Linked DNA regions of Astyanax mexicanus. The protein of the gene in region 4 purifies or fractionates together with the protein of the main gene of each other region. This does not show direct contact. Links are inferred from orthologs where the notes say so. Each region holds a gene or a part of one and is shown on either strand. Other genes may lie near its edges. The genes, in order: baz1b, hipk2, map3k5 and daxx.

Evidence for each region.
Region 1: the proteins of daxx (region 4) and baz1b purify together in Homo sapiens (co-immunoprecipitation; 3 studies listed by BioGRID and IntAct, with this or other methods). This does not show direct contact. The link is inferred for Astyanax mexicanus from reciprocal best matches to the Homo sapiens genes DAXX and BAZ1B.
Region 2: the proteins of daxx (region 4) and hipk2 purify together in Homo sapiens (affinity purification with western blotting; 3 studies listed by BioGRID). This does not show direct contact. The link is inferred for Astyanax mexicanus from reciprocal best matches to the Homo sapiens genes DAXX and HIPK2.
Region 3: the proteins of daxx (region 4) and map3k5 purify together in Homo sapiens (affinity purification with western blotting; 7 studies listed by BioGRID and IntAct, with this or other methods). This does not show direct contact. The link is inferred for Astyanax mexicanus from reciprocal best matches to the Homo sapiens genes DAXX and MAP3K5.

Annotation. Positions count from the first base shown.
Region 1 is NC_064416.1:32,016,998-32,024,077, forward strand, and holds the start of baz1b (tyrosine-protein kinase BAZ1B), read left to right. Parts: upstream 1-4,066; 5' UTR 4,067-4,792; coding exon 4,793-4,911; intron 4,912-7,080. UniProt on the Homo sapiens protein: Atypical tyrosine-protein kinase that plays a central role in chromatin remodeling and acts as a transcription regulator. Involved in DNA damage response by phosphorylating 'Tyr-142' of histone H2AX (H2AXY142ph).
Region 2 is NC_064416.1:17,790,295-17,797,532, reverse strand, and holds the start of hipk2 (homeodomain-interacting protein kinase 2), read right to left. Parts: upstream 3,017-7,238; 5' UTR 2,678-3,016; coding exon 2,659-2,677; intron 1-2,658. Other genes in the region: tbxas1 (thromboxane-A synthase), read left to right, coding at 4,652-4,727.
Region 3 is NC_064408.1:49,309,843-49,316,986, reverse strand, and holds the start of map3k5 (mitogen-activated protein kinase kinase kinase 5), read left to right. Parts: upstream 1-4,121; 5' UTR 4,122-4,854; coding exon 4,855-5,230; intron 5,231-7,144. Other genes in the region: lrp11 (low-density lipoprotein receptor-related protein 11), read right to left, coding at 1-334. UniProt on the Homo sapiens protein: Serine/threonine kinase which acts as an essential component of the MAP kinase signal transduction pathway. Plays an important role in the cascades of cellular responses evoked by changes in the environment.
Region 4 is NC_064410.1:22,184,460-22,192,267, forward strand, and holds the start of daxx (death domain-associated protein 6), read left to right. Parts: upstream 1-4,804; 5' UTR 4,805-4,819; coding exon 4,820-4,826; intron 4,827-5,740; coding exon 5,741-5,952; intron 5,953-7,808. Other genes in the region: tapbp.1 (TAP binding protein (tapasin), tandem duplicate 1), read left to right, coding at 177-500, 640-741, 964-995, 1,110-1,121. UniProt on the Homo sapiens protein: Transcription corepressor known to repress transcriptional potential of several sumoylated transcription factors. Down-regulates basal and activated transcription.

The DNA.
Region 1 (7,080 bases), on a different chromosome or scaffold from region 4:
TACTGCTGTAACTTTTCTTTAAAAATTATAAATCTTGTGTGCAATTAAAAAGAGAAATTAATTAAGAGGCGTTGAAAGGAGAAACGCTACTCTCTTCAGCTATACGCACGAGTTAAGGAAACACTTAACAAATTCTTAGCGTTACCAAGCTTTCGGGAAACCCACCCTTGTTCTGTTTCCTAGATGTTTATATTTATTAACTATCAAACATTAAATACACAGAGATTACTTGCCACAGCTCTCTAAGGAGTTATTCACAAATATTTGTTCCTATGTATAAATAAAAAGACAATAAAATGTAAAATGTAAGTAAATATATTTCTATAGAGTTGTTCCTATGTATCTAATTGCTAATGTAACAGTTTGGAATAAGATGTGCAATATTTTCTGTCATTTGTATGCATTATACTGATAATTCACCCTTTAAAATATCGTTTTTTGGGGGGGTTTTCTACGGTGGCCGAGAAATCCCAGCGCAGTGCAAACTGAAAAGTGCTGCAAAAGCACAAAACACATCCATCAAAATTACAACACAGGCGCAGCAAATAGAAAAACGCGCTGCAAAAAGAAAAACGCGCTGCAAATAGAAAAACGCGCTGCAAATACAACCACAACACAACGGAAGTGAGTCACAACACAACGGAATTTTCCCGGGGGACCTTAAAAGATGCTGTATTAGCTGTATACAAAGGACAATAAGTGGCAAACAAGCTTCTGAAAAGTAAGTTATGTTTATTAAAAGTTCTGCTTCACAAAACGCCTTGTTTGCCACTTATTGTCCTTTGTACACATAGTGAAGTCCGAGACGTTACTGAAGACGCAGCTTAGCTGGTACAGTACCTGGTACAGGTCCCCAGGGAAAATTCCGTTGTGTTGTGACTCACTTCCGTTGTGTTGTGGTTCTATGTGCAGCGCGTTTTTCTATTTGCAGCGCGTTTTTCTAGTTGCAGCGCGTTTTTCTAGTTGCTGCGCCTGTGTTGTAATTTTGATGGATGTGTTTTGTGCTTTTGCAGCGCGTTTTTCTTTTTGCACTGCGTTGGGCTTTCTCGGCCACCGTAGTTTTCAGCATGCGCAGGGCCGGTTTGGAAAAACCTGGAGGAGAAAGAAATGGGTCTTTGGAATGATGGGAGTCAAAGACAAAAGACGGAGAGTTAAGGCAGGAAGTAGCATAATCAGTGATGAGTGGAGGGCATACAGGGTTGTGTTGAGAAACTTTGGGTACAAACACTATACCACAAACCATATCAGGGGGTTTGTGGATCCTCGGTCCGGTAGCCACACACAACATATTGAAAGAGCTTGGGGGATCATCAAAGGACATATCTGTAGACTAAGAGGAAATCATACAGAGACTTTGTTGAAGGAGCACCTCATGGTACTTGAATGGTCATCCTGGCTTGGATCTCTTAACCCTGATGGGCCACTTGGACGCCTGTTAAAGAATATTCAAAAAGCCTTTCCAGTATGAATTTCATGATCTATTTTCAAGTGCTCTAATTATCATTCAGCAACGACTGTTTTAATGTCTGAATCAGTGGGACTTTTATTATGAAAAGTGATTATTATGATTATTATGAAAAGTGTGCTTTGCATGAATGAAAATGTTTGGTTGTTTCTGTTGTAACTAGGTTTATATTTCATGTGACAAAATCATATTAGCTGTGTAAAGGTTTGTAAGTCATGAATAAATAGTGAAGTGTTTTACAGTTTAAAACAAGGCTCCTATCTGGTGTTTATAAGTGTTTGTAACTCATTAATACATAGTGAAGTTATTTATACTTTAAAATAAGGCTCCCTTTTGGTGGTTATAAAGGTTTTTAACTGATTAACACATAGTGAAATGTTTTACACTTTAAAATAAGGCTCCTATTTAGTGGTTATAAGTGTCTAAAACTCATTAATAAATAGTGAAGTGTTTTACACTTTACAATAAGGCTCCCTTTTAGTTGTTATAAGTGTTTGTAACTCATTAACAAATAGTGAAGTGTTTTACACTTTAAAATAAGGCTTCTATTTAGTGATGATAAGTGTTTTTAACTCATTAATAAATAATGAAGTGTTTTACACTTTAAAATAAGGCTCCTATTTAGTGATCATAAAGTGTTTGTAACTCATTAACAAATAGTGAAGTGTTTTACACTTTAAATAAGGCTCCTATTTAGTGGTTATAAGTGTTTGTAACTCATTAACAAATACTCATCGACAATTTAAAAATCTGAATCTGCAAAAGCAAAATGGAAAACTACATGCTGGGAGCTGCAGTAATTACTTGCAGTGAAATTGCCTGCAGCAGACCAGTAAAGGAAGGTTACATCTGGAATGCTGTCCTAAAGAAGATGCCACTCAACCTTAAGGATCACAACAGTACTTTTATGTTCTTTGAACATTAGCACCTGGCAGCATTATATCAATATCTGTGACAACCCCAAGGACGATTTTAGATAGTATGCAGAAAATGTAAAGGTAAGGGTAAATATAGCTAAACCCTTAGATGTCAGTTTTATTATTTCATATGACAATATACACCACATTATTATAAATGACTAAAGGAGTTAGTGGTGGAATGATTAAACTCGGAAGTTAAATGGTTAAACTGATGTTGACTGATGGAGGATATGGAGATGGAGAAGCAATATGAGTTAGATGGAGAAGACAAAGTAAGTTGAGTATATGACAATATCTGAAGTTTAACAATATAGACGGCTGTGGGTTCACTATTTGGCAAACAACAGGTTATTGTTGCCCTTTCTACGCATGTGTTATAACTGATTATTAATTAATTGTAAGGCATTTACAACCAAAATATTAACCTTTAATCAACTAATTGGAAACCATTTATAAACCCTTTATAAATGTAGTCTTATTTTAAAGTGGTACCAAACTTTTACTGTGCGGAATAGAGAGGCCTTGTGTCAATCATATCTAGAAGCGGCGTTGACTAGCCATATTGGACTACATATCCTTAATGGATTTCTGAATAGTCATTGAATAGTATGTTACCATTGACATATCTCTCTTTTTTCGTACACTTTACTACTTACAGATATAATTATTTACTATTATCATTATAAAAGATATTGTCATTAATGTACATAATGTATATGTATGTATATTGTCATAAATGTATATAATACATACTTATATAATACCTAAGATACCAGCTGTCAGATTACGATGTTGCAATGTATTGCAATGCGTTTTTCTTCCGGTCAAGAGTGATAGACAGCCAAGAGAGCCAATGAGATCCCTACATTGCGGGCGCGGTATTTGGGTAGCCAATAAGATCTGGTGGTGGGCGGACCTAATAGACGCTAGTTGCTTGTTGCCGGTGTAACTTTTTAAGGGTTAAACGGAAAATTAGAACTGATACATGAAACAAAAATGTATACTGCTGAACATAAACTACATATTCTGACAGCATTACAGGACCGTTTGTGACTTTGTTCATGTGTTTGTTCATCTGAGCGTAGAAGTGCTGAAGATAAAACTATTAAAGCTAATGATATAAAGCTCCTATTAAAAGTGTATTTTTGCTTTAACAGGTCTGTTCCAAATACTTTAACAATTCAAATACTTAAATTAAATGTTTTGCATAAAATATAACTAGTTCTGATATAATTACTAGCACAAAATACAAGCTATGAAATAACTGATGTGTTATTTATCAAATAATTGATGTGTTATTTATCAGGATTATACAATATTACAATGTTTACAGCCATGTGCCCACAAAAAAACATCAACCATGAATGAGCTGCTCACTGAATTTGGCTGATTCAATTTTGAATTTGGTATAAATATTTAGAAATTGGTGTGGACTCTTATAGGTTAAGATAATTAAATAAATAAAATCTAACTTATAAGTATGGTTATTTACAAAATGTAAAATAATTAAAGATAAACTTAGATTCAGGTTTAAGAGTATGATGTTGCGATCTAAAACACATATCCGACTAGTCAAGGCATAGACGGTGGTGTGATAGACAGCTAGGCGAACCAATGGGATCCCTCCGCTCCGGGCGCGGTATTTGATTAGCCAATGGGTATGGGGGGTGGGCGGACCGGAGCGACACGACGCCGCTTGCTGCCGGGGTAACGGAGTTTTTGGGGTCGAGCGGAATGTTGCCGGTGGAGTAGCTCTCCCGCCATTTTTCAACCAGACTTATTTGTTCTTGGACGGGAATTCCGTCTGTTCGCGGACCGGAGCGCGGCGCGGGTCTTTACAGAGCGGAGTAAAAGTAGTTAGATAACTAGCTCAGCGTTCGTCATCTGCGGGAAGGCGGCCAGGAGGCATTGTGGGACGGCGGACGGCTCAGAAAGCGCGCCATACGCCCCCGGACGGCTCCTCTGTTTTCCCGCGAGTCTCTGTGTCTCAGCAGCCCGGCTTCAGGAGTTTCCCCTCCACAGGAGGAGGGTCTGCTGAAAACCGCTTGCTTCTTTACCTCCACAGGGCTGGACGCGTTGAAGCGGCCCGCTGGATATGCTGCAGCGGGCTTGTTTAATCGGTGTCTGGCGGTAAAGCGGCTTCTTCTAACCCCGAACTCCAGCTAGCTATTGTTTTTCTCCTAGAAGCTGCAGCAACAGCAGCTAGCGTAGCCTAGCCTAACCTAGCTTAGCCTGATGCTAGCTCCGCTTTGAATGTCGGCGGTGGAAACGCGGGGACAGGCGCTTTGCGGTCCCGCTTGATTCAGCAGGAGTTACGCAGCGGCTAATGGTCGGGTTCGTGTTGTTTAAGCCGAGATTCAGCGCTAGAAGGAGTTCGGACTGATCCTCCGCCGTCTGTAAGCGAGCGATGGCACCGCTGCTGGGCCGGAAACCCTACCCGCTGGTGAAGCCGCTGGCCGAGCCGGCGGGCCCCGGCGAGGAGGTCTACATCATCGAGCACACTAAGGAGGCCTTCAGGAACAAAGAGTATCCTTTCTGCGGTCAGAGCGCTCTACCTAGCCCGCCGCCCCCCGGCTCTCCGCACGGAGGAGCGGGCAGCACGCCAGGGAGGACCATAAATATGACCAGAAAGCTGATAATATAATCAGACCGCGCTGTGTTTATTTTTACTGCCCTTGTTTATTTGTTTGTTTCACTGCTTAGCAGCGTTACTTAACCTAGCTTAAACTGAGTGAAGCTGTCTCGGCTAAGCTAACCGGTGTTGTGCCGGATTGTGCCATCAACGTCAAAGCGTGTTACCTGCCATAGTGTATATATACATTTATCTGTTAGTTAAAGCAGTCTGTTAAGTGGCCATGTGTCGATAAGCAGAAAGCATTATTAACTATATCTATGGCAAGCCTTAACTTCGTAAAATCTCAAACAAAAATGAAATCTTTAGTAGTAGAATATCAGATCTACAAATGTATAAAAAACAATCACTACTTTTACTATTATGCAATGTTATTTTAAATATCTGGCTACACTGTAAGGTCGATTAGATAAAAATAAATAGATCTGAAGATCTCAAATTAGTACTATTAAAAATGTATAACTGATACGTGAAATAGGAGTTTCTACAAGTAAAAGCTTAATTGCAGAGATCTGGTACAAGTAAAAACGAAAAAAGTCTGGACGTGTAAATTTACGCTATAGAACGCAGAATATTTGCCATAGAAAGCACAATATCACAAATCTTAATCTTACAGCAGAAACAAAATATTTTATATATCACGTAATTATTTGTGTCCGTTTTAACGTTAGGTAATTGGTGTGAAAATGAAATATGTGGTTTCCTGTGGACATTTTTGTCCTATTTAAACTGTAACATTGAGCTCAGATTGTACAACACACTTGGAGAAACAGAAGTATTAGTAAGGACACTTGAAAACATTACGTATGCTCTCCGCGCATGCGCAGGGCCGCTAAGTAGCACACGTTGATGGGTAGTAGAACTCGGCAGCACACCGGCTAAGACGCTAATGACACCGAGAGCTGGCATTATTTCAGGAGGTCGGGTGTTTAGAGGGATTATGGAGGTAATGATCCTGCAGGCGGGGCTCAGGCCCGGCGGGGTCAGGTACTGCCGCTCCTGCGGTTCCGTTTTGGGCGAGTTAGCGGGCCAGTGTCAACGAGCTAGCGGCCGCGGCGCTCCGTGCTAACGCGCGTCACACGCCGGTCTGCCATGACCCGAACCTGTGGGGCTCCCCGGCTAACGCGCACGCGCGCACACGCTTACTCTTTTACTCTCATACACTCTAAGCTAGTTCCTTTTTTATTTAAATTATTTAGACCCACATGTTCTTACAACATCAGTGATGAAACAAACACATGAAGGAGATTAACTAGCCATTTTTGTTGCATCGAATTAATTGTATAAATCTATGGATAGATACCTAGTTTATTGATCCAGCAGGAAATGTCTCATCTAGTAACAAAAAATACAATTGGATGGTAAAAATATTGTATAACGATATTTAAAGACAATTTCACGATACACAGTATTTATTGCAATGTTTCTCATGCAGACAAAATGCATTAATAGTAGCAGATTCTTAAGATTTTCCTGACTGAAAATGTATAGTTGGGTCAGGGTTGTTCAGGCACTGATGATATCCTCGACATGCTAGAAAGGATATTGTCAATATGTCACGTGAAAATGTGTCACAATATATTAACATAAAATGTCATTGCCGAGCTCTGCAGCACAGTTACAGTTCACACAGTCCATAAATAAATATGCGTAGGCTGCAAAAAAACTTGCTTTAACGTAATATACAGGTGCTGGTCAACGAATTAGAATAATTTGAAATAGTGCAATCATGAAATTCTTTGAATGCATTTTTTGTGCAGAAAGCAAATCAGGTGTTCACTGCACCTGTCCTACTCGTTAGACTAATCACAGAACTCGTTACCTGGAAAAAAATTTGCTCAGCTGAGCTTTCCAAAAGGCCCATTTAGGCCATTTAACTGTGACACTGTTGTTTTATTGAATTAGAATAATGGAGAAACTGTTTCATTGAATTAGAATAAATGCTCGAATTTTTGTTTTCTGTGAAGAGTGTTCACTGTGCAGTATAAAGTCAGGGTTGAGTAGAATTTCTAAGTTGTAAAATCAATCATGGGTAAGCAGCGCGACCTCTCAACCGGAATAGT
Region 2 (7,238 bases), on a different chromosome or scaffold from region 4:
TTAACTTTAAATTTAATTTAAACTGTCCACTTGCTGCCTAATGTGTAGGTTTCACCTCTTCATAGGTTAATCGCTTCACCCATCCCAAACAAAAATAATATATATTTTTTTTAGTTTGCATTTTTGTTTTTATGCTGAAACTTTTTTATGGTCAATGATATGTCAAAAGTCATAGGAGGGCATCATATCTGAAATGATACAACCAGAAAAGCACATAATGACATAATTTAGCCCAACAATCATATAGCAAATCATCTGCCTATCCCTAACTAACGGCTGTTTGTGTGAATTCCAGTAAAAGATATATATAAACATGTCTCTCATTCCTTTATGCCACTACTTAAGAATGAAACTAAAACTGAAGTGCTTTCCCAATCATAATAATGAAACTATTCATATTCCAAAACATTATATAACATACCTGCTTACAAAACAGGTAAAGCTCTACTCAGGTAGAGATCTACTCTTTGTCTTGCCAAACGGAGAACCACAATATACAGTAATTACCTGTAATTGAGGAGCCCAATTTCAGTTTCAGTGCAAGCTTTAACTCCACCGTCCAGGCAATTCCCATAGCTAAACCTGCTCATCATTTCTAAAGTAAAATGAGTCCAGTGGGTTTTTTTATATGACTACATGGCCTTTTCCCTCTCCCTCTCCCTCTCTCTTTCTCTCTCACACACATACACACTCTTATTCTCTCTTTCTCTCGCTGTAAAAGTGCCACTGCGTCTCGATCGCTGATGGCTGTGATGAGAGTGTCAGAGGGTGACGGCCTCCGTGCCCTTTATTGTCTCCAAATTCAAAGCAGCGACTTCTAATCAGTCTATCACTCTATTGCATCAGGGCTTCAACGTCCAACACAGTGGCACCCTACATCGCAGTCGTGCTTTAATTATACATCAGTGCTGTGAGAGGCCGATGACAAAATCAAGGCAGCAAAAACAGCAAGGTAGCAGCTGATTTTCTTTCCTTCTTTTTTTTGTTTCACCTTTAAAGAGTTTAATGCACATGTCTTGTGACAATACAACATGTGTTATGTTGTACAGATTACAAATACAAAAGGTAAAACCTGAAAACTGGAAGGTGGTCTCCTGGATCTGACATGATGCAGTTCTCTTTGCCAACAGCAGAGGGGGTGTTGGGGAATCAATCAAGATTCCCATCTTTAACTGACAGCGAAAATAAACACTTCGGACAGTTCAAATATATCGACTTGAACAGTGGAGGGCGAGCTAACGTTTTATAACAGAAACGTCTGCATTTCACACCTCTTTGAGGATTATTTAGGTGTACTATTGCAGTGCTATTTCTGGTTTAAGTCTCTATGGACGCCAGGACACGGAAAGCATTCCTTAAATCCGTGCTATACAAACAGTACAGTCTAAACAATGAGAAACATGTCCTGTAAACGCTGAGATAAGCTGTTAAAAGTTAATATTATCCTCATTACTAATCATTGTGGCTTATTTGCCAGCCCAAAATCACCTTAGCTAGCTACCTCAGTGTGTTTGAAGAACAGCGTAATATTAAGACAGCCAGTTACCTCAGCCTGCATGAGCAGCAGCTATAACCGCTATAACAGCTAGCTAGCCTATTGGATCAATAACACACACACATAAACACTCACATACTAAGTCACAGGACACACACATATTTAACTAACATTGGTTAGAGTATAGTACTGAGCTGCTTAAACACTGTGTGCCATTTTGCTCTGGGATTAGTCACCCATAGCCCATACAGAGCTAGTTGGTGCTGCTGCAGTAAGACGCTCACTGACTGCACTTCTTTCTAATAAATGACTGACTGACGCATTAAATCACAAAGATATCTGTGTGTTTAAGGTAAAACTCTGAATTACAACACATTGCAATACTTTCTAAAGAGATTAAAGAGGTCAATATCAGAGAATAACGCGTATATTTACAGCAGAGACCCTTTAAAAGAGTGATTGATTTGTGGAGATCCACTTTTCACACTCTAGGTTAGTTAACATAGGTTAAGTAACTACCCTTAGGTTAGCTGTTATCTATTTTGAACGTTTGCCTCAAACAACAACAAATATCCAAAAACAAAGCCTTGGCAGAGTAAAAACATCCTAAAAAATAAACAATACAAACAGAACTGCACTTAATTAGCTAAGCTCTTGAACCCATACAACCTATTCTCACTTCTGAGTTTGTAGGTGAAGAAATTAACTGGTATTAAGATATTTATTCCGAGTTAACTAGTAATATAGTAAATAGTTAGCCAGCTAACTAGCTAACCTAAGTAACTAGCGAGCTAGCTAATTCGCTAACCTAGTCGTTACCTATTTAGTAGCTAAGGTAACCAAGCGATTCTGCACGCAAAGCTTTAACCAGCTATATCTAGTATTTTAATGGTTAAATTAAATGAAATAATAACAGTGCGACCAATTTTTCTTCACTAAACTGCTTCTTAGCGATCTCCAACATCTCCAATATATTCTTAGCTACATGTTATTAATGCCAAGTGTAATATTATGAGGTAGTAAATCTGTTATAGCTGCCAAACAAGAGCGCCGTGTTTGGAATAGACCCACGGCGCTATATAAGTGAAATAAACCTTCAAAAACGCTGATTACCACCTCTCCAAAAAAGAAAAATACCCTTTAATAAAAACAACATTTCCTACCTTCGTATACAGGGGCCATCGGTGCAAGGGTTTCTGTTATTCATGGCAAAATATGAAGAGATATTTCAGTTCAGAACTCAATAAAAATCTGCCATCTTGCGCCGCTGACAGAATCGCCGCTGTCTCCTGCATTACGAGCCCAGTTCATCAGGAAGGGAAAATAGAGAAAACAAGAGGGAAAATCACATCCACAGCTCCGGCTCTTTATAAAGGCTCCACAGCGAGGTGTCGGCAACTCAAGCCCAACCAAACGAGAGCAGTTTAGCGGCTCCGAGGCTGAGCCGAACAGCAGGTTGGGCTTCAGCCCGCGGTGTGCATGTCTGTGTGTGGAGTGGCTGCAAAAGTTGCAATGGTGAGAGAGCAGAGCGAGTTTAGCCTAGCCTGCGAGCTAATCAAACGACTATCTCATCGATCACAAACGTAACGCCCCCCTGCATCTCATAATAAAGGGGTACTTACACATGTTGCATGTCTTACCGTCTGAATTGATTAAAAACCTTAATAATAATAATAATAATAATAATAATAATAATAATAATAATAATAATAATAATAATAATAATAATAATAATTACTATTTGCAATCCTTCTTTTATTTCAACACCACACCGGAGAAGTAGCCAACCATTGTTTGTTTGAACTGTTCAAAACTGAATTGATTTTACTCAAATATTTATCTTTTAGGATTAGCATCCCACTAAATAGCATTGCTATCACGCAAAAAAACTTGTATATCAAAATGGTAAGGCAAACCCCTCCCCCCTTTAATGGGAAAAGTCTTTATTTCTTTTCTGACATAATGCACAGAACATCTGCCATATGCAATTATGTAAAAAAATAAAATAATAAGCAGCGATACTTACCTAGGTTATAATTAATCAATAATTTTCACTACAGTCCTAAAGAACCAAACTATCACTTAGCTGTAGTTAATTGTTACTTTTATAAGCTCCCAGAACAGAGTTTTCTATAGGCTTTTTGTGGATGAATATATTCTTTCACCATGTACTTTATGAATAATAGACTAGTAAACACTGTGGCAGATGTTTATTGAGCAAACAGAAAGGCCATCAGCTGCAGACTCTACAGATGCTCCTCGCTAATCCACAGGCTGGGAGGAGGATGATTCTGGGTTGTGCTATTCCTGCCTGGATCAGATCCTCCAATGACGCCAGTGGATTTGAGAGTGAAGTGGGGCGGAATCGGATTACAGAGCTCATACAGATGGGAATAATCTGTCATTTACCACCAACCGCTACACAAAAAGCGTCATATCTATTTATTTAACAACAACCGCAAACGAAATATCCAATACATATTTAAATACACATTCCTACTTACATACACAAACATTTACAATAAATGCTGCTGTATCATACATTATATTACATATAGTACAAAGCACCAAATAACAAAGAAAAAAAAAAACAGAAAATAACATCTCTTATATTAAAATGAATAATACAATTAGAATACAATTTACATTTTACAAATTTACAGATACAATTGTACAGATTTATTTTTATCAGATAACAAAAACAATAGAAACTTTTATAGTATTCATTATAATAAAAACTTACGGGGAAATTATTAGATGAATGTAATGCAAAATTATTTATATATGTGTGTTTTAATCGTGTCTGAATCCATTTTATTCATGCTATATTATTATTATTTTTCATTTTCATTTTTAACCGTTATTCTCTTACATGTTTTTCTCTTTGTATTCTAATTTGTAAAGCACTTTGAATGACTGTTGTGTATGAAAGGTGTCTACAAAACAATTTATTTTGTGAAGTTTTGGAATTTCTTTGTTTTTAAAGTATTGTTTGTAATTTATATTTATTATATTTGAAATATAACAGAGGCAAAAAACAACAGTATTCTACCCTTTCTATTTCAAAAATGATGAAAAATAAAAATGAACATAAAATAAATCGTCAAATTCGACTGAACTACAAATACCAGAGCGCAGTGTCAACTTGTAGTTCTTATGCAACCTGTAAAACTACATTACCCAGAAGCGCGTACTTGTCAACAAACAGCACAGTGGGCTAACAGGAAAAGAGGTGAGCGTTTTAAAGTTTATACTCAAATATCTGTCTCTGTGATATGTTAGTCACTGTGGCCTCGCTACCCGGGTTGACCTGAGCAGAAGAAAACTGAACTGCAGGTCTAGAAAGGCTTTATTTTAGCTGTCCCGTTGCACAACTGGCACGGGATGCTGGAGAGTGGCAAAACGCGTGACTGGAAGTTTAAAGCTAGCCATTGTTAGGTTATATGTGTGTCTGTGAATGTGAGTGTGAGTGAAGGTTCACAGCTGAGAATGATCTGCCTAATCATATACAGCTCCACAGACAGGCCTGCATTTCACTCAAACTGAAAATGTACAATATGTTAACACGTTACTGAGCTCTGTAGCATCAGCTTAGGCTGTTCTGCGCTGTGGTTCTGTGGTGTTAATAAATGAATGAGGTTATGAATGGTTAATGAATGCGGTTAATTCATAACCGCATTCATTTAGGTTTTAAAGCTTGATTTAAATAGACACTTTGGTTAGGTGATGGGAAACTTGGTTGAGTATAATGACTCATAAACAGCTTTAGTCTAATGACTCATAAACAGCTTTAGTCAGTAATGCAGGGATTTGTATGTTCATACTGTTTATGCATCTACATGGTAAATAATTACTCTTATTAGTAATATCTATAATATACAAAGCCAATGCACAAAAATAATGGTAATAAAAAGAGAATGCAAACCTACAAAAGAACATGCTGATGATCTTAAGGCTCTTGGGCAGTACTGCATGAAAACAGGCATGATTCTTTACTGAAAATCATTGCGTTGGCTCAGGATCAATTCTACAAATCATTGTTTGTAAACACACTTCACTGTATAATCAACAAATGCAAGTTAAAGCTGTATTAGGAAAAGAAAAACATCGCTCACAACAGTTCATTGCATATATTTTGTTTTTCTTTCTTTGTTTTTGTTTTTTTACCCAATGCCTAAATGTTTTGGACTTGGGGGTTGTACTATAAAGTACCAGATTTTTTAAGGATCCCTCTAAAACAATATTATACTACATAAAAAAACTATAACATTCGAATCAAGTGTGATCAATGATATCCATCAATAAAGAAACCATCCTAGTTTAAGCATTTTGTGCTTTTTATAGGTAGCCACATAAACGACAGTGTTCTATAAATTTGAATTTTAGTGTCTTTTTGTGAGTCATTTTTGGTTGCCCTAAATTAAATTCCAGTCATCTCCCCCTGTCACTGTGCCTAGATATCCTTTCAGATCTCACTAGGCCTTTCACAGTCACCATGTGGCTCCCTCAAAGGAGAACTTAATGAATTTTTCTAGACTCTGATAAAGCCCACAGTACTTCATGAGCAAAAGACGTGCAATATCTGAAGTTTTTGTTAACTCCTTAGTGCCCAGCGCTCATCATTATAGTGCTGTTTCACTTCATCTACCTTCATTTAAATACATGCATTTACTGTTTTGCAAAACTTTCACAGCAGCTTTCACTGGAACGTTATTATTAGTAGATTTCTTAATAGGTTTGGTAGTATAACATGTTAAATGACCACACAAGTCAAAAGATAGGACACAATGTTCCTACATTGTAAATTACTACTGAAGTCATCCAGACTATGAAGGAACACATAAAAAGTCATGTAGAAAAATACTTTGTGAAGCGTTTAGGTGGCTCTTATCCGGGGTGCTGTTAACTTGTGGTTTCTGAGGCTGGTGGTAACTCTGATGAACAGAGGTAACTCCTGGTCTTCCCTTCCTGGGCCGGTCCTGAAGATAATTTGTTTTTGTTTCATAAAGATTTTGATAGTCTTTGCGACTGCTTTCAAAGGTTCAAATCAAAATTCTTGAATTTTTTTCAGATTTACTGACCTTCATTCTTTAAAATATGTTTTTCTTTACTTAGTTTAGTAGTTCTTGCCATGATATGGATTAGAACATTATTCAAATAGAGCTATTCACTGTATACCAACTCTACCTTTTCACAGCGTTAACACTGATGCTCTCAAACTCATTAAGAGTCAAGAAATTCATGTAATTAACTCTTGACAAGTTACAAGCACAGCTGTTACATGAAAGCCAATCAAGATGATTCTTCCTCATAAAAATGATTTAAAAAATGCCAATATATCAAAAGCTGTCATCTAAGCAAGTGGTACTACTTTGTTGTTGTTTACTAAATAATTACATGTGTTTTTTTTTCATAATTTGGATGACCTTAGTATTAATCTACAATGCAGATTTTTTTTAATTATGAAAAAAATAATAATAATAAGTTTTGTGACTTTGTGACCAAAGTTTAGTCTGGTACAGTGAATGTAGAGGTGAACTCAGGGTATTTATTTTACAATCATTAGAGATGTATACTTTTTCCAACTCAGTAAATAGTTCCATGTATTCTGTGTTTGGCAAGGGAACAAGGTTTTGTAGGAAATGTTTGTTTGTTTGTTTGTTTGTTTGTTTGTTTGTTTAGCTTGGCTGGACCTGCATATGGTTTTAACTCGGATGGTGGATTTTTTTGGAATTTTTTAAGT
Region 3 (7,144 bases), on a different chromosome or scaffold from region 4:
TGGACACGGCCGCGCGGATGATGTGCGACTCGGCCGAGTCGAAGCGGCTGAGGCAGGCTGCCGCCACGGGCCCGTGCTCCCGCTCTTCATCCTCCCCTACCTCCCCCTCATCATCCTCATCCTGCTCATCCTCCTGCTCGTGCTCGTAAGGCTGCTCCTCGTGCTGCAGCTGCTGGCGGAACTCCTCCAGCAGCTCCTCCACACCGCTGATCTTGCTCTTGAGGTCCGACAGCGGCGAGGAGACGGCGCGCGAGGCGCTCGAGCTCACCGGAAGCGCGGAGAGCACACAGCAGAGCAGCGGCGCGAGGACGCGCGTGACGATGTTTAGCCTCATGGTGCTGTCGGGGAAAGAACGCTCGCTGTCCTTCTCATTACCATCAGCATCGTCTCCGCGCGTACCAGCCCATATTCCCTCTCTTTTTCACTCTCCTCTTATGCCCTTATCTCTCTCTATTTATCCCCCTATCTATCTATCTCTCTCCCACTCACACTCACTGGCTCGCTCGCTCAGTTCAGCAGGTGCTCGAGCTCGCCTCTGGTCCTCGGGGGACGGAGGATGCTAGAGTGAGGCGAGCAAGCGCATGCGCACTGAAATTGGGAGTCCGAATGAGCGAGCGAAAAAAAGAGAGAGAGGGAGGTAGATGAAATCCTGACGTGACGTCCCGTTTTGTCTCGCGGTACCTGAAGGAGGCCGAGCCCTACAACAACAACACCCCCCCCCCCCCCACACACACACACAAAAGTGCACGTTGACGTCATGCCAGATGCGAAGCCCATCCTTTGTTGTGCACTTCGATGGTGGTCTTATTTTTTTCCCACCCCTTTACGTACGCCCCCCCAGGGTTGTTTGGACTTCTGTCCTTCAAATAGTAGGGATGGCTGTTATGAAGTGCCTCATACACTGCAGTCAGAAGACTGTGTTCCAAACAGTGCCCTTCCCAGTAGAAAAAATAATTTAAAAAATAATTTAAAAAATAATTTTGGTGCTCTATAGGGTTCTCTTATAGGTGAGATAACAAGTAAACAATTAGGTGTTCACCAATTGTTGGCCATTATCTTGCTGCATGGTGAAGCATCTCCTAATTAATTTGGTTGCACCTTTCTTTAAATTGACAGACATGTTTCTACATCGATGAAGATTAATGAATCTGTCATGCAATATGCCCATATTGTTTCTGTCATCAACTGCTGTGGATTTCCTTAGTCTACCTGTTCGACATCTGTTACTTAATACACCAGTGACAACTTTTTTTGTTTAGGGCATTGCAAACTGTAGTACAGACTATAAACAATATTTGTATAATGGCTCTAATGTATTTTCCATCTGCTCTTAGCATTACAGTTGCTTGTTTTACTCAGGGACATGTTGTTACTCCTCTAACTATAAATGCACAGTCTTTACAGACAAAACCCAAATCTGAAACTGAGTGTAGACATTTATTGCTATTTATTTTGTAAATAATCAATGTATCAGGACACACCAGATCAAGAAATACAACTGACACCTGTCACACATTCCAATACTTTGACTTACAAGAAAATTTTGTGGGTTCAAAAGGTCTATTGTGTAAACTGTGTATCAGTGCCAAATGTAAACAACTGTAAATAAAAGCTGAAATGTTGATCTTTTTCTTTTTTTAAGAAGTATAATAAAAAAAAACTCAAATGTTTGCAGTGTACAGCAGAGATACATGGATTGGCCTCGCTCTTCTAATACATTTGGAGGGGACTGTATTTGCCATCACAATAAAATTAACTCTTTAATAGTAAAAAACAAAGTAATTTGTTGTCAGCTCATTCTCACTGTTAAACATTTAAAGTATACAGATTTTTTAAGAGCTGATGTGACCTCAAATCACGCAGTTGGTGTTTATTTATTTTATTGCTTTAATACAGTTTAGAGTCATTTATACAAATTAAATGATATGAGCAGGATTGAGACATTTTGTGAACAAGTAGCGCTTGAATATTTATTCATGAATATATAATAAAAAAAAAAAACATAATTTCTATTTACAGGTACTTTTTTCAGTTTTTAATTATTATAACAATGTCAAGGCAATGTCTAGTATATTGTATATCCTAAAATAGCAGCTTAAAAATCACTAAGCATAAAAAATTAACAAGACACTGCAATATGTAACTCTGGTGAAGTGGAGAGGACAATGTTCACAACAACTGTGTAATGCTGTGTAGCCTGAGCCATTGTTGCATAAAAGTCCACGTGATTCCATTCACTTTCTGGGATGGTTCTGCAGATCTTCTTGCAAAATGCATGTAAAAAGTGTGTGCTTTAGTGGTTGCTCAAAGCACAAATTGCACTTTACTGTAGGGGGAGACAAGAAGCGACAAGGTCAAGCAGCAACATAATGCTGCTTTAAACACCGTTTTGTTTATTTTCACAACAGTACTAGGTCAGCTCAGTGATAAAATTAGTGGCAACCAGGAATTGTCCTGCACTTCTTAAAAGTGTCACAACAGGTAATTTGAGCAATGGTAATTATGTTCAAGAACATTCACAATGTGTAGTTCATACATGCTTTAAGATTGCCATTATCATCCCTGTGATGAGGAAGTCCCCAGTGTCATATGTCAATGATTACTGTTTCATTGCTACCAACTGTTCAAGACATTGCATCCTGTCCACCATATCCCACCTAGTCCTCACCCTCCTGGAAAATGAAGACACATACTGTTCACTGACAGCATTCAACACTACCGTCTCTCAGCATCTGGCTGGAAAACTGAGTCTGCTGGGCCTGAACAACTCCCTGTGTAACTGGGTTCTGGATTTCCTGAAGTGACGTAAGGGCATCCCACTACAGAGGCATTAACCAGGCCATGCCACTAGAGGTGGCTGTGACTTCATTTGCAACAGAGAGTTTAATTCTTCTCTGCAGGATGCAGTGATACTTATTCTGGTCATTCTTAAGGGCTATTGTGTATACAGCTATTGTGCTACTACAGATAGTGGAGTGTATTTATTTAGTGATTTGTTGATGCTGTTTCCCCAGTCCTCAGTAGTCCTCATTGAGGACATCCCCTACGAAGAATCTATAGTCCTGTGGGTCCCAGTCCTTTTCCTGAAATCCTCATGCACTTATTTTTTTTCAAGCACACACATCTTAAGTATATGAGGGCCCCTTTATGTTATTACAAAGCGGGTAAACACACGAAAACATGCAGTGTCGGTTAGCAGTTGAAAAATACTAAGGGTTGTTAATTTGCATTGTCAAAAGAGGGCCACTAGAGGTCAGCATTATGACTTGACAATCGTCTTTCTGTAGAGAAAGTTTAGTTAAAGAAATTTGTTTTAAATCTCATGATGTTAAAAGAGCCTACCCTTGCTGAAACAGCAAAATGTGTAATGTGACAGTGCTGTATTTATTTATTTATTTTTTTTTTTAAACTTCTCCACGCAGTAGTTTGTTTAGTATTTAGTATGCCATGTCAAAGTTACCATCATGTAACATATAAACAGTCCCCTTCAAAAGTATTGGTGGAACAGTGAGGCTGATCCCCCTGTTTCTGCTGTAGACTGAAAACATTTGGGTTTGCCATTAAAATGTGAATATGAGACTAAAGATCAGCTTTTCAGCTTCTGTTTTCATGTATTTACATCTGGATCTGGTACACAGTTCAGAAGATAGCACCTTCTGTCTGAACCCACCAACTTTTTTCAATTATTTCAGTCTACAGCAGAAATAAATGGATTGACCTTGCACGTACCCCATAACTGTACTCTCTCTCTCTTAAAACATTGTCTTATTGTAACATGTACTCCACAGCCTTATAACAATTTACTGCATTAATCTTCTGCGATGTAGCTTTCGTAGGCAGTACATTCCACCAGTGTAAACAATTCTGAGCAGTACAACTTTCCTAGAATTCCTAGAATGACCCGTTTCAGCAGAACCTCCTCTGAATTAGTTCACATTTTAACCGTTTCATCACAAGAGACGCTTTTAAAAAGGCGGTGGAATTCCCCTTTATCCAGAACGTGAGTAATGTCCAACAGAAATCCCCCGTCACCTCCTCCATGTTCACTTTCGACCGCCTGACTCTTTAAAAGGCGTTCCCGGTATGCTAATACGCCCCGCCCCGTTTTCGCGTGAGTAGTGTGTGTGTGTGTGAGTTCTGGTGATGTGGAGGAGATAACAGTGGTGATAGGGCAGGGTCCGCACGAGCCCGCGAGCGAGCAGTCAGGCAGCGTGTGAGTGTGACTCGTTTTCGTGTTTGTTTTCGCAGCGCGATGAGCTGAGCTCGTGCAGCCTCGCGCGCCGGATCCGTCGAGCTGGTGTTGTGGTGAACATGGTCTCGCGCAGCGCGGATCGTCGAGGACTTCCCTCTCCTCCTCCTGCGGCTCTCCGACGCGTCGTGCGGCAACTTCAACTCCTCCGCGTCGTCGTGCTGCGCGGAGAGGCGCGCGGGCTCTCGGAGCCACGGCTCACCGAGAGCACTCACTTTTGAACGGACAAACAGCGCGCGCGCGCGTCGTGACTCGAGGCTGGAACGAGCGCGTGGCCGCTGACTTGACAGCAACAACAAACCGGCTGGGCAGCGGCGCTAGCGCTGCAGGACCATTTACCTACGTGTTTTTACATTTTTAACTAATTATTCACAACTTTTTTTAATGAATCTAGGATTTTCATCTTTTTTTTAACATCTGAGTGAAGAACAGAACAGTGATTTATTTCGTTATTATTATTTTATATATATTTTTTATTATTCTGCGCGGAGGAATGTCTAAAACTCGTTTGCAGAAGAAACTGGAACTGAAGTGACTGGAGGAGCGTTTTTACTGTTTTTCTTCTCTTTTCTTTTCCTCCTCCTCCGTAGAAGAAGAAGGGGAGGATGAACCCGGAGCCGGAGTGCGTCTCTCTGCCGGTTCCGTGTCGCGAGGACTGCTCGCGCCCCGCCGTGCCCGCCGCCGGCACCTTCTGGCAGGACGCGTCCTCGGCGGTGGCGGCGGCGGCGGCGGGGGTCATTGCGGGATGCCCCGCGGAGAGCGGACTCGGAGCCGGGCTCGGGGGGCTGCTTACACCGGGGAAGTGCAAAAACCGGCGGGCGAGTGTGGCTTACGTGCTGAACTCGGAGACGGGAGCCGAGAGCATGGCCCTGCAGTGCCTGCGGGACGCCTGCGAGGCCGTGGGCACCGCGCTCGAGATCGTGCTCTTCGGGAAGCTGGACTTCGGAGAGACGGCCGTACTCGACCGCTTTTACAACGCAGGTAGGTGCAGCGCTGTTTATCCCAGTTCTAAGGACTCGCTGTGAAGCTGATTCACACGCTGGTAGACTGAGAGTGAAACTGAGGAGGTGGGCTCACCAGTCTAAAGAACATAGATAGTGACAGACAGATATGTCTATTAGACAGTGAGCCAACAGTAGTAGAGTTTAGAGCAGTTCCCATTGGACAACCTTCACTATCTGGGAAAAAAAACACACTTTCTCTTGGTTATTCTAGTCAACCAGCATTGAGTAGTCATTCAGGTGGATTTGGGGTGAAATGCTTCAATCTACCCAATTGAAAAACATAGCCAACAGAACGGCTGATGTTGTTCAAGATTAGGATAGTTGCTCAGCTTAGCTCTTGACTAGTTTTGGTTAAAGTTTGATGAGTTTGGACTAAAGTGGGGCTGCAACTGTTGATTATCTTGGTAGTCAACTTTGTGATGATTATATTTTCGATTAGTCGATTAATCAACTATTATTTCTGTCATGTTCTCCATCTCTAAAAACAATAGAAACAGCTGAACATGAGATTTTAAAAGACATTTAAATGTCTAGATGCTTTTTAAATGTGGAAAGTACTAATATTTTGTGAGTAAATATGTAATCTCTAGTGTTTGGGCACTTTTGGAGTTGAGTGTAAACTGTGTGAGTGAGCCACTCAGTGAGCTACTCTTCTGTCTCCAGCACTTTGTGTAATGCAGGACTGTTACAAATGAACGATTAGTTGACAATTAAATTTGTAGTCGATGCATTTAAATAATCGACATTGACGATTATATCGACTTATTGTTGCAGCCCTAGACTAAAGCATGATCAACCTGACCAAGCTAAACCACCACTCTGACCAATCTTGACCATGCTGATGGACCGCATAATCAGCATCACCATGCTGGTTGACCAGCATAACCATCATGACCAAGCATGTTGGACAGCATTACCAACATCACCTAAGCTGGGCTGACCAGCATAATAAACATCATCAAGCTGGTTGACCAGCCCCACCACTTAATCAGCATCACCAGTTTGGATGGCCAGCATGACCAACATTGCTTAACTGGTCGACCACTATGATCAGCATGCCCAGAAAAACCATGCTTGGCCAAGAAAAACCAACATGACCAAGCCATGACCTAACTCAGAAACAGCATACGCAGTGTTGGTCAGAAGGTGGCTGACCAGCTAGCTTCCCAGCATAGGTTAATTATATATCTGGAAGACCAGGCTTCTAACCACCTTAACCATTACCTCAGCTAGAAGCAAATGCTGGTCTTGAGCTGGATTTTTCAGCAGGGTGGAGTAACTTACCAAAACATACAATAGAGGTGACTGGAACCAATGGTCACCATGACTTTAACACACAAATTGCCATTTAATCAACTATCTACAGTGTTTGGTGCACCTAAATTGGTGTACTTGGTGTACTTTTGTTAACACACTTTTTTTTAGCTCTCTGGATAAAAAATGCATTGACTGTTATAAAATAATGCTACAGGCATATTCAAAACCAAAGGTACGGTGGTGCTTGGAAGTTTGTGAAAGTTTGTGCTTAATACTGGATCCATTTTCTTAATAAATAAATGGGCAAGTTTTGTAATTTTTCATTTGTTGCCTTTGAGTTGATTTTTCTTATGTGCTAGGATTTGTGAAAATTTGTTTTATGTCAAATTTATGCAGAAGTATCAGAAAATCTCAAACAGTTCATAAACCTTCAATCACCAATATATCTGTAGTTGTTTCTGTCACCCAGTTTCAAATATGTTTGCTCTTGCAGAAACAAAAATCCTGCAAAACACAAGACATTTATCAGAAGTTAAACAAACCTAACAAGAAGTGGGTAGTTCTGTATAAAAGTACACACTAAGCAAATGTGGTTAATCCTGAAAGTGCAAGTAAAATTACTTTGAGGACATGG
Region 4 (7,808 bases):
ATGCATAATCCAAAATTTTGATATAATAGGGATAAAATATAATAGGGTAAGATATAATAATATAGTATATATTTCTCCTTGCATAATCACAACTGAGTTGGTTGGCAGCATTGGAATACATAGAAAAACACATATAATTTAATTGAATTTCTATTATCAATCTCTTCCCTTTTCAGAGCCTCCGTCTCTTGGCATCTACCCATCCCCTCTTCCCATCTCCGCCCCTGGGCAGGTGGTGTCAGTGCACTGTGAGGCCTCTGGTTTTGCTCCTCTTTCTCTGGAGCTTGGCTGGGAGTTTACTGGAGCTGATGGTAAGAAGCGGTCCCTTGGACAGGGCAGTGTGTCGGGCCACAGGCAGGCATCTGATGGTACCTACAGCCAGAGCACTCGTATAGAGCTGGACTCCAGCAAGCTTGGGCTCGGACGTGGTGGTGAGGTCAGCTGCGTGGCCGATCACAAAGGAGGGTTTAGACGAGCTAGTGTGACACTGAATGTCGTTGGTGAGTGACAATGCCTTTTCGCTCATCATGCTGTCATTGCTGGGTAAAATTCTATGTGATAGTATTTGTCAGAAGCAAGATGTAATGACTTTGAATTTACTTACACATTTGTGAAATATTTTTTGTTGTTGTTTTTCAGGTGTTGGTGCTCCTTCCATAGAGGACTCTATGGCAATGGTTGCTGTAGCCCTTGTGCTTTATGGTGTAATAAAGGTGTTTTTCTGGACCTTCACATCTTCAGGTAAGCTACATTTTGTCTAAAAGTGCAAAGTGCAGTCCTTGCATGCATAATGTGTCCTACTAAAGAAGATTTAAATAGATGCTATACTGATAGAGGTTCAGGTAAAGTCAGTGTCTCTAAATACTTTTTTACTATTAACTGTGTTAGCATGCATTGTTTTTTCCATCCTTGGGGGTACTATTCAAAGCTAATTCTTTGTTTTTAATTCTCTACCAATGTCAGGGTCTTCCAAAGCACAAGAATCAGGGGATAAGGTAATTTCTGAGTTTTACACTACTTGATCTGTTTGATAATCATAAATATAGCACCCTTCATATAGCATGTATGACTGGCATGTATTAACTGGTTGTGTTTTTGTTTGTTTTTAGAAGGACAAGTAATCGCAGTGCTGAAAATGTCTTCCTGGATGTCTTGATTAGAACTTATGTTTATGCAGATGATGATAGAAGCCACAGTAAAAAAGTACACCATCTCTTTAAAATGATTATACTGATATTTTTGTGCTTGGTTCATGATCCAGATTGTGAATAAACACTGAGATAGTGTTGTGGTATTTTAAAATAATGGGAAAAGGTGTCTTTATGTCTTTTCTGAATTTTGTTTTATTTTATTTTTTTTGTTTCATTTAGACCTGTTTGGGTTTTATTGGTTGATGATTAATTAAGTAAATATATTGTAAGTTTTCTTTTCTTTTATCTTTTGAAATACCATGTCATGAATCCTCTGAAAATGACTGTATAAATTTTAATTTTTTTTTACCTGTTCATCGTTTATTTTAACCCCTGTTTGTTAATGTGTGTAAGAGCTGTGATGCACAAGTTGAAAATAAATGTGTGACTACTGGTGTATTCCAAGCTTCTGAAGTCTTACATGACTAAGTCATATGAAAACGAATTATTAAATGAATTATTATATGAATTATATGCACCCAGGGTAAATTTAAATAATTACTCTAAGTTTGTAGGCTTGTACCAAATGTCTCTTGTCACGTTTACTCAACTTCAGTATCAAAACATTTAAAAAAGTTTTACATCTAATATAGAACTAATTTTCAAATACATAGTATAAATAAATAAGCATGTTGCTCATCACCTAAGCAGTAATTGCTGACTTAAAATAAAATGTCCATTTTGTTTATTTGTTACTGTCCATCTTGGTTCTATTAACAATAGTGTATATAGCAGTAGTATGATGTAAGAGTTCTAGATTTTGGACACTGGATAAAAATCTTTTTAAAGATACTACAAGGACATCTATGCTGCTTGTCCCATTAAAAACACTGTGTTTGAAAGTGCAGCGGCACATTTTCAGCATTCTGTGTTAAAGCAGCTTCACACTGAACAGATATACGCACTGTAACACAGAATCTTCTCATGTGCCACGCATTTAACTTAAGAGTCTCTTAAATGGACAGTGTATACATTACTGAATACTGGACGTCACATATTTTACCCAGGCCATTTAAATGCTCATCCCCCATTGTGAGCATGTGTGTAATACCAAACACTTCCTGAGATTTTTAAACTACACAGAAATGTTTACAATAAAGTACACAAATTGGTTTTATCTCCCCTCAAACATACAAAAATATACTAGAAATTGACACCACTAATATACATATAATTGCATTTTATATTTCCTACATTCATTTCTTTATTTACATTTAAATATCCACTATAAAAATGTTATTCTTAAGAAGAACAAGTGCGATTAAAGACAGTTAATCCTGGAATATTGTTGTTATTAATCGAATTAAATTGTTTTGAAAGATTGACACCACTGAACTTAATACATAAAACTTTGATATGTTTTTTGCCATTCAGTTCACCTTCACTTTCATTTACTGAAGACTCACTCACAGGTGCCCCCTGGCGGTTTACAGTTATTTATAATTAAAACGAAGGAAACAGAAATAGGGGTGTCATATAAATATTGTCTATGATAATATCGTAATTGCTCCAGCATAACGTTATCGATTGTGCTAATTACTAGGGAAAACAATCAAAACACCTGTACTTCGCACATTTGCTATAGACTGATGCTGTCTTGTTTATTGGCATGGCTGAGCGCAGATACTAATCCAGCAAGCTACCTATCCAACTATCTGCTATTTACAACCACATTTTCTTTTTCTTCAACAGAGTCACTGTGCTAAAGACTCTCTCTCATTTCTCACACCCGATCTCTCACTCTCATAAGTACTTATTTAAAAAAGTCTGCCAGACCTAACCCACTGCACTGTTACTTTACTTTCTTCCACTCAAAAATATGGGCAAGTATAAATATTGATTTTAATTATGATTAATCATAGAATACTGTGGTGATTAATACATTTTTTTAGATGAGTTACACCACTGATATAAATATAATAAAATTTTGCCAATCAAATGCTAATTCGTTTAATTACATTTAAATACCTATAAAATGAGGGGTTCACTAAACCCCCGGAATTGAGCTGACTCCACCCTCGGCTCAAATTAGTAAAATGGGAGGGGTAGTTTGGGAGGGGTACTGGGTGATTTATGGGTTTAGAGGCAGGGCAGGAGGGTGAGCTGATTGGCTGAGCTGCAGCAGCAGTGTTCCTCTGATAGTGGTGAGACCCAGATGGAGCGGTATAATTAATTGTCTTATCTGCTTATTGTGATTGTTTGCATACCAAAGTACATGGAAACATCATCTTTGCCAATAGCACAGTTGAACCTGAGAGGGTACTGCAGACACGGAAATGGCCGCAATAAAAGCGCTTTTTTTTTTTTTAAGTTTTTAAGTTTTAAGGTTTATAAAAAAATAAGAATTACTTCAACTGAACACATTTCAGCTAGTAATAGAAAAATGGTTTACGGTTTAGTGCCTCTTTAAGGAAATTTGATAGGCCACATGGTTTACACACGTGCACTGTGTGATATTTGAAATAAAAAAGTAAATAAAAAAATGCCTTAAACATATTGTTTCCGTTCATATATTTAGTAAAGCAATTACATAATTATTATTATCCTTTAAGATGTGCAGGCTAGTACATTATATTACTTTTACAAACTCATTTTAAAAAATTGCAAAATATTGTTTAAATTACAGATCGTTAAAATTACAGAGATTATCGAGATATGTGTACTTTTGTTAACATCGGTCACCCATAGATAGGCAGCGTGCAGGCTTTCCGTAACAGGTGTAGAACAGGTGTTCTGTCGAGTTATGATACCCATCCATACGTGTTTCCTAAAGGCACTACGCACGCGCTTACCCACGCGTTTTGATTCTTTCTTGTGTTTTTTTTTTATATAACAAATCTTTTTTGTGCATTTTTTGCGCATGAAACCACTTGGACTCACTGTCATTGCACGAAAGTGTAAATGGAAATTGATAATAATAAATACTATAATTATTATTGTATTATTGAATTAATTATTATTATAAAAAAATACAAAAGAATTTTGAAATGAGCACTCACTGCCATATCTTTACCATGATACGGTGATTTATTCTAAATATACTAGCTACATCTACTGGGTAGATACTTCTGCTGGATACTTCTGCTTCTTTTGTATTTTTACGGTTAAAATATACGCTAGGGTAGCGCGGTTTGGCAAGGCGGCACAACTCGACAGAACACCGGCTCTGACTCCTCCGCTCCAGATGGGGCGACAGTGAGGAGCAAGTCCCGCTGAACGCGGAGGAAAACCGGCTGAAGAAAACTGGAGCAGCCAATCCCGTAGGAGCGGAGCGGCGCGGACCGAACCGCGGGGGCCCGTTGTTCACGAGTGCGCGCGGTGTTGCCATGATGGTTTTTAGGCGGAATTTTCTACAGGAATAAATACTGAATTAAGAACCTCCATCGGATAAAGCTGCGTGAAACGAGAACGCTCGTCAGGAAAGCAAGAAAAAAGAGCAGTGTTCAGTGGAGGGTCTGTGTTACTGCGCGGTTTCTGTAACTCCTCTAAGAGTCAGTTATTTTTGCTTGTCTGAAGGCGGGATTTGTCACAAAGACCTGGCAACCTAGCGAGTTGTTAAATACAGCAGAATCGAGCGCGTAAGTTGCCTTCTTGTTCCAGCGTGTTCACTATGAGTATAATGTGTGTTTATGGGTGGTGAGGACCGGCTGTATGGCTTTTAATATACCGTATAATATCCGCCAACAGTGTAGTTTACTGATTAGTTATCAACTAGGAGTAACGTTAAGTGTGAGGGTTTTAAACAGACAGGAGGTTAGCCTGCTAGCTAACTATCAGCTAGCTAACTACAACGAGGAAGCTAACTAGCTAATGGAGACACCAACGCCAGTTTAAACAGCTTCCTTTTACTATTTAGCGTTAACCTAGCGTTATAATAGAGACGTAGCTGAGGCAGTAAGTGCCACGTACTCATGTTTAGCCTAAATTACATGGTGAAGTTAATTGGCTGTCTCAGTTTATTCCCTATTATATAGTTTAAACTAGTTAGCGAAACTAGTTTAGCTGCGCGGGGCTCGTTCCTAGCTACCATTATTAGCTGTCTAGTTTTATAAGACTGAGTGAACCTTACTAAGTTAATTCTGTAACCTCAAAACGCCAAGAGTCACTAAGAGCACTTTTTATCGCTGTGTTCATCAAAATTCTAAAGGTGCAGTTATGTTATTTTGCCAAAATTTGGTAGTTAGTTGTTTAGTTAGCAAGGTTCGTTAACTAACTAAACTAGTTGGCTGTAGCTAGGTGTAACTTAAGTCTTTCTTGACGGAAATAACTATCAAGACTATTAATGTTAAACTTAAGGCACACCCTAGGTTAGCTAACTAGTTAAGGTATTTCGATCTTCTTAAAATCTAATATTATTAAGGGCTTGGGGTAATGACAGGAAAAACAGTAGCTCGGCCTTAAATGTGTTTCCAGCAGCATCAGAGTAAATTGTGTGTTAAGACTGAATATAAAAAGGAATGTATACTTTGTTTGAATCCAGTTCTAATGCTCCTATTTTTCTTACGCTGCTCAACAGTTTTCCTTACCTAACATGTCATTAACTGTGGTAGGTGTCACAAACACGATGGACAGCATTGTGATCCTCGATGATGATGAAGCCGAAGAACCTTCCACATCTACATTACGTCTTCAAAGGTTTCGAGGGTCCACTCCATCTAAAGACCAAGAGTTAAAGCCAACACACATCACACAGTCACCTTTCAGTACTGCAAAGAAGGAAGGCCATGTCCTGAAAGTAGAGAACGAGAAACTCTTTGGAGAGGTAGGTGTATGGGTTTAAGCTTGTTTTTTTGTTAAAGAATCAGACCTATAAATGTGAATTAGACATAAAAATGATTGCCACTGTTCAGTGAAACGAAACCAGTTTGAATAGGACTTATCAGTATTGAAGGTAATAAAATGTAATGACCTCAGAGCTGCTTTAATGGCCCATGGAATCTTTTCTTTTTTTCTCTTTTGTTATGTAGTTTAATTAACCTTTATCTACACCCTTGCTGTTTACATTTTAACTTTCTTAGTCTTTTGTACAGTTTTTTTTTTTTATCCAAAATGTTTGTTTAGTGCTCCTTTATAAAATTCTTATGATGAGGATTCAGCAATAATGCACAAAAGGGAGTGCTATAATGTGTTCTATTGGCCTGTTAGATCAGCACAGCGGTGCCAGTATTACATGTTCTAGCAAGAACGTGTATTATGCCAATTATACCACAGTTATGTTATCACTGTTTACTGAAAGACTGAGTTAGAGAGGATGAGAAAATATGATCTGTTTGGTTATAGACACTCAGAGTTAAAAGAGTTCCATTGCTGCTCTGTTTCTAGCTGTGCTGTTTGGCTTGTAAGCTCTGCATTGTTGCTAGGTTACCTGTATGTGGCGGAGTAATACATGGAGAGCCTCGGTGACAGTGCATTACCGGCTGATAATGGCACTCACAGAACACCTCTCAGCCCATCGCCAATAACATTGCAGGATCGGTGGTACTGTGGTACAATTCAATTTAGAGTATTGTAAACAACCCACACAATGTTTTTAATTTTCCTTTTTTAAATTTAATTAAAGTAATCTTTTTTGTTTTGTCTTTTAATACATTTAGAGACTCGATTAAGGATTTAAACACATTAAGTATATGTTTTAATTTGGAACAGCCTAGATATAAACAATAAAATAAATAATCAAATAAATTAAATCCATTAAATGAAAAAAATATGAGTAATAACATATGAAAATGCAATACTCTTAAGTAATAAAAATGTGCACCACAACAAAGTAACGATTGCAACAAAAAAGGCCTACTTTTTTGGGCTGCTATTAGGGGTTCTGTATGTTTTCGGTATTTATGGTGGAAAAAATAAAGAGGCTGGGCGTTCTGTATAGCCTCTCTTTTATTATGTTTGTGATAACAATGGAATTTCAATATAACCATGTTTTGTTTTTTGGGATGGAATGTTGTAACGGGTCTTGAGCACTTTTATTAAATGCTTGAAACCATGGTTCTCTCCTACTGTCATCAAGAGAGGCTCCAACTTTTGGATCTTGTTGGAACAAAAACAGCGTTACTTTAACTGCCTAAACTACAAATATTTTTCCTAAAGATGTTACTATAGAGAAAGAGAGATGGAGGAACCCCACAAATGAGAATGAGACAGATAACTAGTGGTTCAGAGACAGAGTGAGAGAGAGACAGTACGAGCCCCTGACCCTGCGTTCACACTGGAAAGCAACAGGCGACCATTCATTTCCTATGGCGGGGCATAATTTCAGCACAGCAATGGGTGCAACATTCCTGTGAACATTAGTTCCTTCTGTAGACTTTCTGCCTGTATCATGCAGTCTGCATGCGTTTATGCAAAATGAACTGTGACCCCGTACCATGATGGTTTACCGGGCTTAAACGGCAAAAGCTGTAGGGTAATTTACCACAGCATGACTTGGATAAAACTCGGATGTGAGAAATCCAAGAGCATGAAACCATGACAATTGAGTCCATGAAGTTTAGAATTTTAAATATTAAAGTTTACTGGAAAAATGATTTTAGCATTACAGATATAAAAAAGGAACATAAATGAATAGATACATTAGAAATTAGTAAAAGTACATCAAAAAGTCAACATATGGGC